Drosophila melanogaster: one gene and its partner. The protein of the gene in region 2 purifies or fractionates together with the protein of the main gene of each other region. This does not show direct contact. Each region holds a gene or a part of one and is shown on either strand. Other genes may lie near its edges.

Region 1 (5,246 bases), on a different chromosome or scaffold from region 2:
AATGCATGCGCCAGTATCGGGTAGCGAAGTGGAGTGGGTCAAAAACAACAAAGCTTGAAAGGGCTGCGAAGCCAATGTAGCTAATTAAATTTCGAATGAAACGACAGTGTCCCGCGGATGTGCGAAGGCGGAATGAAATGCACACAATATGGATTGCAAAGTCAACCACAAATCAAAATTCGATATTTAAACTTCATAACAGTAACATAATCTTAATTCGCAACACATATAAACGTTTATTGTAGTGGAAATGCCGATTTTCTTAATTTATTTATGTAACTCGCACAAACATCCCAAATATTTTAAAATTCTAGACGCAGTTTGGAGTAGTGTTTAAGTTGAGAATCCCACTTACATGATTCAGGGTAGTGGTGTGGGTTCCTGGAGTTGGGTGCCAATTAATTAAATATAAGGTGCAGGTCCCTCGCCGCGGTCTCCGGCGTAGGTTGCAGGTAACGGGGGGTTCCTCTGTCACTGGGAGGCAGGGCGGTTGCCGCAGACCTCTTCTCCTAGATTGGGAGATATGGTGGGAGAACGTCTCTCCGTTGTTGACTGCCCTTAAGGCTAGCCAACCAATTCAATGATAACAGCAGTAGCTGGAGTTGATTGAAGGCGCGATGCGCTCTTTATTGAATACAAAATCAAACTGACTATAAGCTAACAAAGGGAAAAACATCATAGCGGCCTCTGCCAATGCGCAGAGCTTCTGCCGGCTATGCATGAGCTTCCGGCCAAATGCTTGGTCAGCAATTTGACCGGTGCTGGTGTGCGGACAATCAGTCCGGTTAACTTAGTTAACTTACATAAGTGAAACAATTTACAACCGAAAGATTACAAAAAATATATAAACCTGACGTGTCATTAGCTAAGCATTTTCTATAAATACATGTGTATAAAAATATTTGGAGTACGCGTGTTGCAGATCTTCCCTTATTAGTTTTAAAGCACGCAGTCGGTTACAACAAGGTTTTCTAGGGATCTTCCGGCGGGCATAAGAACTTCCAACAATGCTCCGATACTGGAACAGGTCAATTAGATAAGGCCTGAAGTAGATACAACATTTGTCATTTGTGATTCACACGGAAGCCCACTTGACTACTTGGCCTCGGTTCCGGCCAGCAGATACTCCAAAGCGAAGAGCCGTATAATCAGTGCCAGGTTGTCCGTCGTCGCATAATCGATCACGCTGGCGTTATCGTCGGGCGTATGCCATACACTGGGAAAGGGCACCGGAATGAGGTGCAAGATCGGCACATTTCGCCGCAGGAAGGGTATGTGATCGTCCTCGATGAAAGAGGATCGCATGGCCTGCGACTGGAAGTAGCGGGTGGGGTCGCGCTGGGCAACTCCACTGCTGGCATAGCGCTCCAGGAGCTGCAACTTGGCAAGACGTGTCTCCACGGACTGGATACGCATGTACCAGGACTCGGTGTTTTCGAAGAAGCTGTAGAATGCCGGATCGGGGGCTCCCAACAGATCCAGGAGCACCAGCATATCTATTCTATCAAGTTTTCCTTCATGGTGCCACTTTTTGGCCAGGTGTCGTGCTCCATAGATGGAGTCCTTGGGTCCCCACTCCTCAAAAGCCTCCTCGCCATCGAAGAACAAGAGCATCAAACTCAGTTTGCTCTTCTTGAGGGGTTTCAACTGCTCCTGAAGCACCTGGGCCAGGTTGAGGAGCATGGCACAGGGCACTGCCGAGTCGGTGGCCCCCAGGAATTCCACTCCAGGCATGTATTTGCTATCATAATGGCAGGACAGCACCAGATATCTCTCAGCATTTGGATTCAGGGTGGCGATGATGTTGTGGAAATGCAATTTGCCTTTGATGGGAGCGTGATCATGAAAGCTGTTTACTTCCACATCCCAGTCTAGATCCCTCAAACTCTGGACGATGTATTCGCGAACGATGCTATGATTTGTTGTGCCCACAACTCGAGGTATAAGGATTTTGTCAATGGCTTCCCTTAGGTGTAGCTTATCGGATAGATTGCTGTACTCCAGGAATCGGGGCTCGGAGAGCTCGCTGGGATTGTAGGATATCTGTTTGAATTAAAAGAAAGCACATATTAAGCAGGCGGTTGGTTTAGCTGCATTACCCTCCATTGACCTGTGTTCTTCCTACGAGATTATCCTTCTGGGAAGTGGATCCCCTCACCAAGGTGGCTATCAAAGCTGTCTGCACGCACAGCGTCCACATTCTAGCTGTTCGATGTAGCATATTTAACCGACTGACTTAAGACTACGTGGCTGAGTGTTTTTGTTCGGCGGTGGGAGTGTTGTGTCCCAACAGGTGGTTGCAATCAATAGCGGCAGGTTCGTAAGAAGTTTAAAGATTGGTCATCCGGCTGCGCAACTATTTTGCGGCACACTCCGGCTTGTACTTAAGACCCTTTGGCGAGTCTATTAAATTATCATTTTGGCCAGTTTTTACGGCCGACTTGTAAGGCACAAAATAACAAAAATGGGCGTCGCAAAGGGGGTCAAAATGCTAACGAAAATAACACTGTCTATAGGTAACGCTCGTTGTGGGTGTCTATTTGTTTCCCATCAGTAATTTATTGCACTCCTCTCAAAAATCATTTAATTTCCTTGTTTACTAATTCAACCAAAATCGTTTTGTTTACGCGTATTATTTAAACAGCTGCTTGCCATTTGTATCAGGTGGCAGCACCAGTCCCGAACAGGTGGCACCCCCATAAAAACAGGTCACGGGCGTGTCTAGATTTAATGAGCAGGGGTCTTAAGCAATGGTTACACGAAATATTCAGTTCACTAGCCATTCTCTTCTTACAAAATAATAAAATGACTAATTTGTGCTTCAATCAAAAAGAAAACATATAATATAAAATTCAAAAACATAAAATTAATTTATCAATATAATAAAATCCCCGAAGTCAGTATACTTTATACAGAACTCCCCTTTCAAGCAGAGAGTACAAATAAATGTATGTTTTAGTTAACCTTAGGAATATCCACCAGTTCGAAGCAAGCGCCTAGATTGTAGATTTTTTTGCGCGGTCTCGGCAGCAATCTTTTGACGGCCTCCATTAGGGAATAATTTCTGAGTAGCAGACGCATTTCACTTATGCATGTATATTTTTAATACAAATTATGCACACAGAACACTACACAACACAACACGTTTTCCACGCTGTTATCGAAACTTATGCAATGAAAAGCGATTACACACGGTTTACAGGCGACTTTCTCCTCCCTCGCTGGCATGTAAACAATTGTATCTATATATGTAGCATGTATGTATGTACAAGAGTGCTCTACCGACTTAAAGTTAATGGAAATAGGGTAACAGTCCGGGGTAGATGAGGATTAGTCCGTTTTGGAGCCCTTGGAACCGGGTGCCCCAAAGTAGGCCCTGTATATATAGAGTCCCAGGGCGATGTGCAATGCAACGACCGCTCCCACGGCGGATGCTATGTTCACTTTGACTTCGGAAATGTCGAGGAACTGGTCCAGAACGAAGCCCTTCAGCACAAAGAAGGTCAGCACGGGCAGGAAAACGATAAGCATGCAGTAGAAGAGCACTGTCTTGAAGGAGCTGTAGTCCTGCGAGTCCTGGGCATCCAAAATAAACAAGGGATTAGCTAGCCGGCAATCGGAGCCGTCATGTTACATACGTGCGACTGCTGGCGGGTTTGTTTCGGCGCAACTCCGTTGCCTCCGGCGGCTTTCTTGTTCTTGGTCGACATCTTTTCAGTTAAATAGAATGCAGCTTAATTGAAAAATCAGCAATTTCTCTCAATTTCTAGTTTTGCTTTGGTCTGCCATTCGGTTATCAGAAATATTTGACAAATCACAAATCACATGATAAAGTGGTAGTACCGTGCCAGCATTCAAAATATACCAGAAAATACTGCGACTAGTCGATTAATCGTTGGTATCGTTGCTATCGAAATATTTTCAACTAAATTCTCATTTTTTAATTCATTTTAATTGAGTAAAAAGTTAAAATTATATCAAAATAAAAGAGAAGTATTGAAGCTATTTCTTTAGGTATACAAAATGAAGTGTCATATTTGTTCAAGTAACATATTGTACGCTGTTTCGCGATTTTCGATAATTATAAATATAAATATATATAAATTATAAGTTTCCATGACTTCCAATGAGATTCATAAGATCTGCACTATTTTTGCAACCACAGCTGTCTTTTCGCAACTTCTTCGGTATTTTTCTCCAGGGTCGCACGCCTTATTGCGACACCAGCAGTGTGGTCACACTGGAGCGAAAGGAAAACAAAAGAGCAATCGTGAATCGAAAGGCGCACGCGGCAAAATGTAAAACTTGCTTATTGGTTTATTTTTAACAGTTGCCGTCACCGCATTTACAGTCGCATTTCGGCCGAATGCTCGCGCGCCCCGCTTGCGTGTGTTAATTGAATTATTTCATCCATTTTAGCAACTGCTGCGTATTTTCGGCGCTTATTAAGCCGACAGAGCCATCAAAATCCATACTGCATACAAATACGATTTCAATTAGGGGAAAAATACGCGCCTGCAGTTCGCCGCACGATTTCGTACAGTACAGTACGGACGCAGAGGAGCGTTTTTTCCGAATTTACTGTACTTGCTTTTCGGTTTTTTTGGGGAAATTCCACTGCAGCTGGCGCGCGATGGTTTTGACGAACTTCGAGTGCTGGGCACATGGTGATCCGTCGTCGTCGGCGGCCGCCACTTTCGAAACTGGAGCGCTGCGTCCTTCGATGGATCCGTTCAATCCACGCGCCGTCACCTTCATGACCGACGCCAACAACAACAACAACAACAATGATGGCAATAACCTCGCGGCACAACCGATGCCGGTCGTCCTGCCTCCGGAAGTCCTGCGCTGCAAGAAGCGCCTGAATCCCGGTCACAATCCTGTCGGGGATTTGGACACGGACCAACCGGTGTACACCAAGAGATGTCGCTACGACGAGTCTGACTTGGCCGCCCAGTACTGCAATGGTGAGTATCGCTGCTCAAAAATGCAAGCTTAGTTATTTAATTATTAAATTGTTTAAGGCAGTTTTATATTAGGCTTACTTAGCAATTGCACATGCAATAATTCCAATAAATAAATTTGTTGTCGAGCAGCCTTTAAATATTAAATATCCTCATTAGTTTCAGAAAACACTCAGAAATATATTATTATGTTATACTCAATCCTTTAAGAGTAATGGTTGCATTTTTTAGTGTCTCAAACCATTTTGAACTTAAATTTAACACTTGCAATGAAATTCAAAT
Region 2 (3,503 bases):
GGCAGAGCAAGTATCGTTATGTAAGCATGGCGCACACCAAAACTCGAGCGGAGGTGCGCGGTGGTGGTCGGAAGCCGTGGCCCCAAAAGGGAGGTGGTCGTGCCCGCCACGGTTCCCTCCGTTCGCCCATGCTGAAGGGCGGCGGCGTAGTGCACGGACCCAGGTCGCCTACGACCCATTTTTACATGCTGCCCTTCTATAAGAGGGTTTTAGGATTGACCTCCACGCTGAGTGTTAAGCTGGCCCAGGATGATCTGCACATCATCGATAATGTGGACATACCCACCGGAGATGCAGAGTTCCTTAAGGATTTAATCGCCGAACGGAATTGGGGACCTTCTGTTTTGATTGTAGACGAGTGAGTTCTGCTTGTAGGTGAACATATAATATGTAAATTGATACTGATTCTGTTTTTCTCAGAGACCATATGTTCCCCGCCAATATTTGCCAGGCTAGCGATGATCTGGGCTATGTCAACCTGATGCCAACCTTTGGCTTGAACGTCTATTCTATGCTGAAGCACGATACTTTGGTGCTGACAGTGGCTGCAGTGAAACATCTGGAGCAGCGCCTGCTCTACCAACTTAATCGAAACGACGCCGCCAGCAAGGGCGGCAAGTTTAAGCTGGATCAAGTCTAGAAGTTAAGAAAGTTAAATCCTTTAGTTTATTTGTAACCTTTATGGATGCGCCAGAAAATGCATTGTTAAACAAAAAATGCTTATAAGATCAAAGTTATTTTGATGTGCTCTTGTAGACGTCAACAAATGCGCTTAGTTCTTTGTTTATATCGCTAGCCACGGTGACCAGAGGATCCTTGTCCACTTCAGATACAAATACCAGGCATTCTTCATTTAAAGATTTGGCCAATATAGGGCAAAACTCATGGAGAAAACCCCTTTCTGAATTACTATGATTGCAGAGAAGAACGGTGGTATTGTTGTGAGTAAACTCCAGAACTTCGTGATGGGACATTTCGCCGGTAATGATAAGATCCGCTTGGATACCCTTCAGCAGAGATGCTCCAGAGCCGGCACAAATGCCGACGGATTGGATGAGTGTCTTGGGGGTGTGGCCCACAGCTAGAGCAACGTGCACGCTGTTTCTAATGCGCTTTTGCAGAGACTCCACCACCTGGGAAAGCTCCATTTTGGTTTCTATATATCTACCGGATCCGGTACCCGGAGGAGCACCCAACTCCGGTTCCAGAGGGCGGATGCTGATGATATTCACTGCCTTAGATAGCCAGTCGTTGACGCCACCACTCTTCTTATCCCACGCCGTGTGGGGCGAGTACAAGGCTATATCGTTGGCCAAGCATGCTGCCACCACGCGCTCCTTCCAATGTGACTGCGTAATCCTGGTCAGGGGCTTGAAAATTGGCGGATGATAGCTGATTATGAGCTCCGCCTCCTTCTCTAGCGCTTCTTTCACTACGGGCTCGGTTAAATCGTTAGTTAATAGTATTTTCTTGATTTGTTTTTCGCGGTGCGGTTCGATCAGGAGTCCCACATTGTCCCACTTCTCTGCCCAAGAAGTCGGAGCAAAGTTCTCCAGCTCCTTGACCACAGCCGCCAGCTTTTGACCACTAAAAGTGTTCATCCTTCTCAGCATTCCTTGACGTCCTTTGCAAAATATTTCTGGTCCTGCGTTTAAGATTTTGTGCAATTGACTTATTGGCCGGTAAGTGCTGCCAACTTAATTTTTGTTGTTTTACCTGCTCTTAAAATCATCTGTTATCACCCGCAATTTTTAAATTGGGCGATAAAGTAATTGGTTAATATTAATAAACATTAAAAAACACTACTATAATTTTATTAGCAGGTCACATTTTTGTTGCGTAATTTTGTTAGAAAAACATTTAATGAATATTTGGATTTTATAATAACGAGAATAGCAAAACAGTTTTAATAAAACGATAAAAGTTTATGTTATAGCAAACAAATAATTAGAAATTAACAAAATATTTAAAAAGTTTATATACCTTAATAAATTTATCAGATTGGCACCAAACACTTGTTTTTAATAGAAAAACGAACGCCTGATAAATAATAATTCAAGAAATTCAATCGGAAGCCGAAGAATTTAAATTTTAAAGAATAATTTAATTAAGTCATACAAAAGCAAAAAGCAAAACCCGACAAGGAAATGACCAAACCCCTAAAACTGAAGAGTAATTTACAAATTCCCAGCAATTTAATCAAAATTTTAGGAAACAAGTCCGATTTTTTAATAACCTATTTGTTATAATAAATAACTTTACAACTACGAGAGGCGGAATTTTAAATTTTAAATTAAAAAAGCGAGCAAAAACTTTCGAAACTACTTGTGACCGTAAACACAGGTTTTATGGTAAGAATCTGATAATCTTGTAAAGCCCCTCTAAATTTCTTGGATTCAGATAATTTTTTAATCAATACAACCTTGTAAAAACCAAAATAATCGTATATATAATATTTCATGAATTGGCGATAAAATGTGATTGAGTGTTAAAAAATCCCAGAAGGAGAGTGTATGACAAATCGGTCGCTCAGAATATCCCATGAAATTCAGAATTGGTCGAGGTTTCAATCGAAGCTGACCTGTGAAAAACCGAAGAAAGAATCCTGCATTTCATTTCCGTTCTCGGTCAGCGGGTGATTTCCCAGATATTTGTCCGCCTCGCCGTCATACGCATTTCAACCGTAGGACGCCGAGCATCAACATCAAGTGGCTTCGCTCGAGGAACTAAACAATCACACAATCAGAGAGTAAGAAGTATAAATAAACGCATCGCTGCTGTGGTTGCTTTTGTTGCAGCTGACCATTTAGCTGCTCATTTTGTTGTTGGGAGATTTTAACTTGGCGCTCTCCCTACTATCTGGCAACCCTATGGTCTCCCTCGCACACATGTAAAACTGATTTAAGCCCCGATTACACACTCCATCGTCGATATATTAAGGCAAACGTTTTCACTTCGGTCTTTTCAAGTCTAGAATTTTATTTTTTTTGGGCAAATATGAAAAAATAGATTTTTTTCAATTAACAGTTTTCTAAGTAAAGAAAATTTAAAATCGAGACTCTTCATTTCGTGATAACTCTTAGTGCAAACGGGGCTTTATAGTATAGACTGCCATATAAATATATACATATCAGCGCGCTCCCTCAATTTCATTCGCTATCGAAACGTGAAAGAAAGCAGACGTGCGTCCGGGTACTATGCGAATTGCAGATTACAAACATTTAAACCATAAATACGCGTTTTAAAGACAGCTTCGCAAGACAATTAACCAGCAAGGTAGTGAGAAATCCATAGAAAATAGTGCTGGGGTTTAAACCCAGAACATGTGCAGAAAATAAAAAGCGAAAAGGAAGCTGTGTGAAAAGGGAGATAAAAAATCTACCTCAGTGTGATTGTGGGTGTGTGCGGGTGAAACAACCGTGAAGAGGCAAATAAGACATTGGCAAATGGAAAAATCTAAAATTTTCAACCAGTGTGAAACCGTAATTTTTATTTTTCTGCGG

What was found.
Region 1: the proteins of CG4278 (region 2) and isoQC purify together in Drosophila melanogaster (affinity purification with mass spectrometry, with the first as the bait; one large-scale study listed by BioGRID). This does not show direct contact.

Annotation. Positions count from the first base shown.
Region 1 is NT_037436.4:20,472,362-20,477,607, reverse strand, and holds isoQC (iso glutaminyl cyclase), read right to left. Parts: upstream 3,143-5,246; 5' UTR 3,082-3,142; coding exon 2,965-3,081; exon of another isoform or gene 2,817-2,964; intron 2,647-2,816; exon of another isoform or gene 2,222-2,646; coding exon of another isoform or gene 2,111-2,221; intron 2,044-2,110; coding exon 1,096-2,043; 3' UTR 605-1,095; downstream 1-604. Other genes in the region: CG5969 (uncharacterized protein), read right to left, coding at 3,331-3,576, 3,639-3,710; CG32428 (uncharacterized protein), read left to right, coding at 4,634-4,967. UniProt on the Drosophila melanogaster protein: Acts as a glutaminyl-peptide cyclotransferase. Responsible for the biosynthesis of pyroglutamyl peptides. Might be more efficient in the conversion of tri and tetrapeptides in vitro.
Region 2 is NT_033779.5:16,325,267-16,328,769, reverse strand, and holds CG4278 (uncharacterized protein), read right to left. Parts: upstream 1,702-3,503; 5' UTR 1,614-1,701; coding exon 735-1,613; 3' UTR 641-734; downstream 1-640. Other genes in the region: mRpL4 (mitochondrial ribosomal protein L4), read left to right, coding at 1-358, 421-640.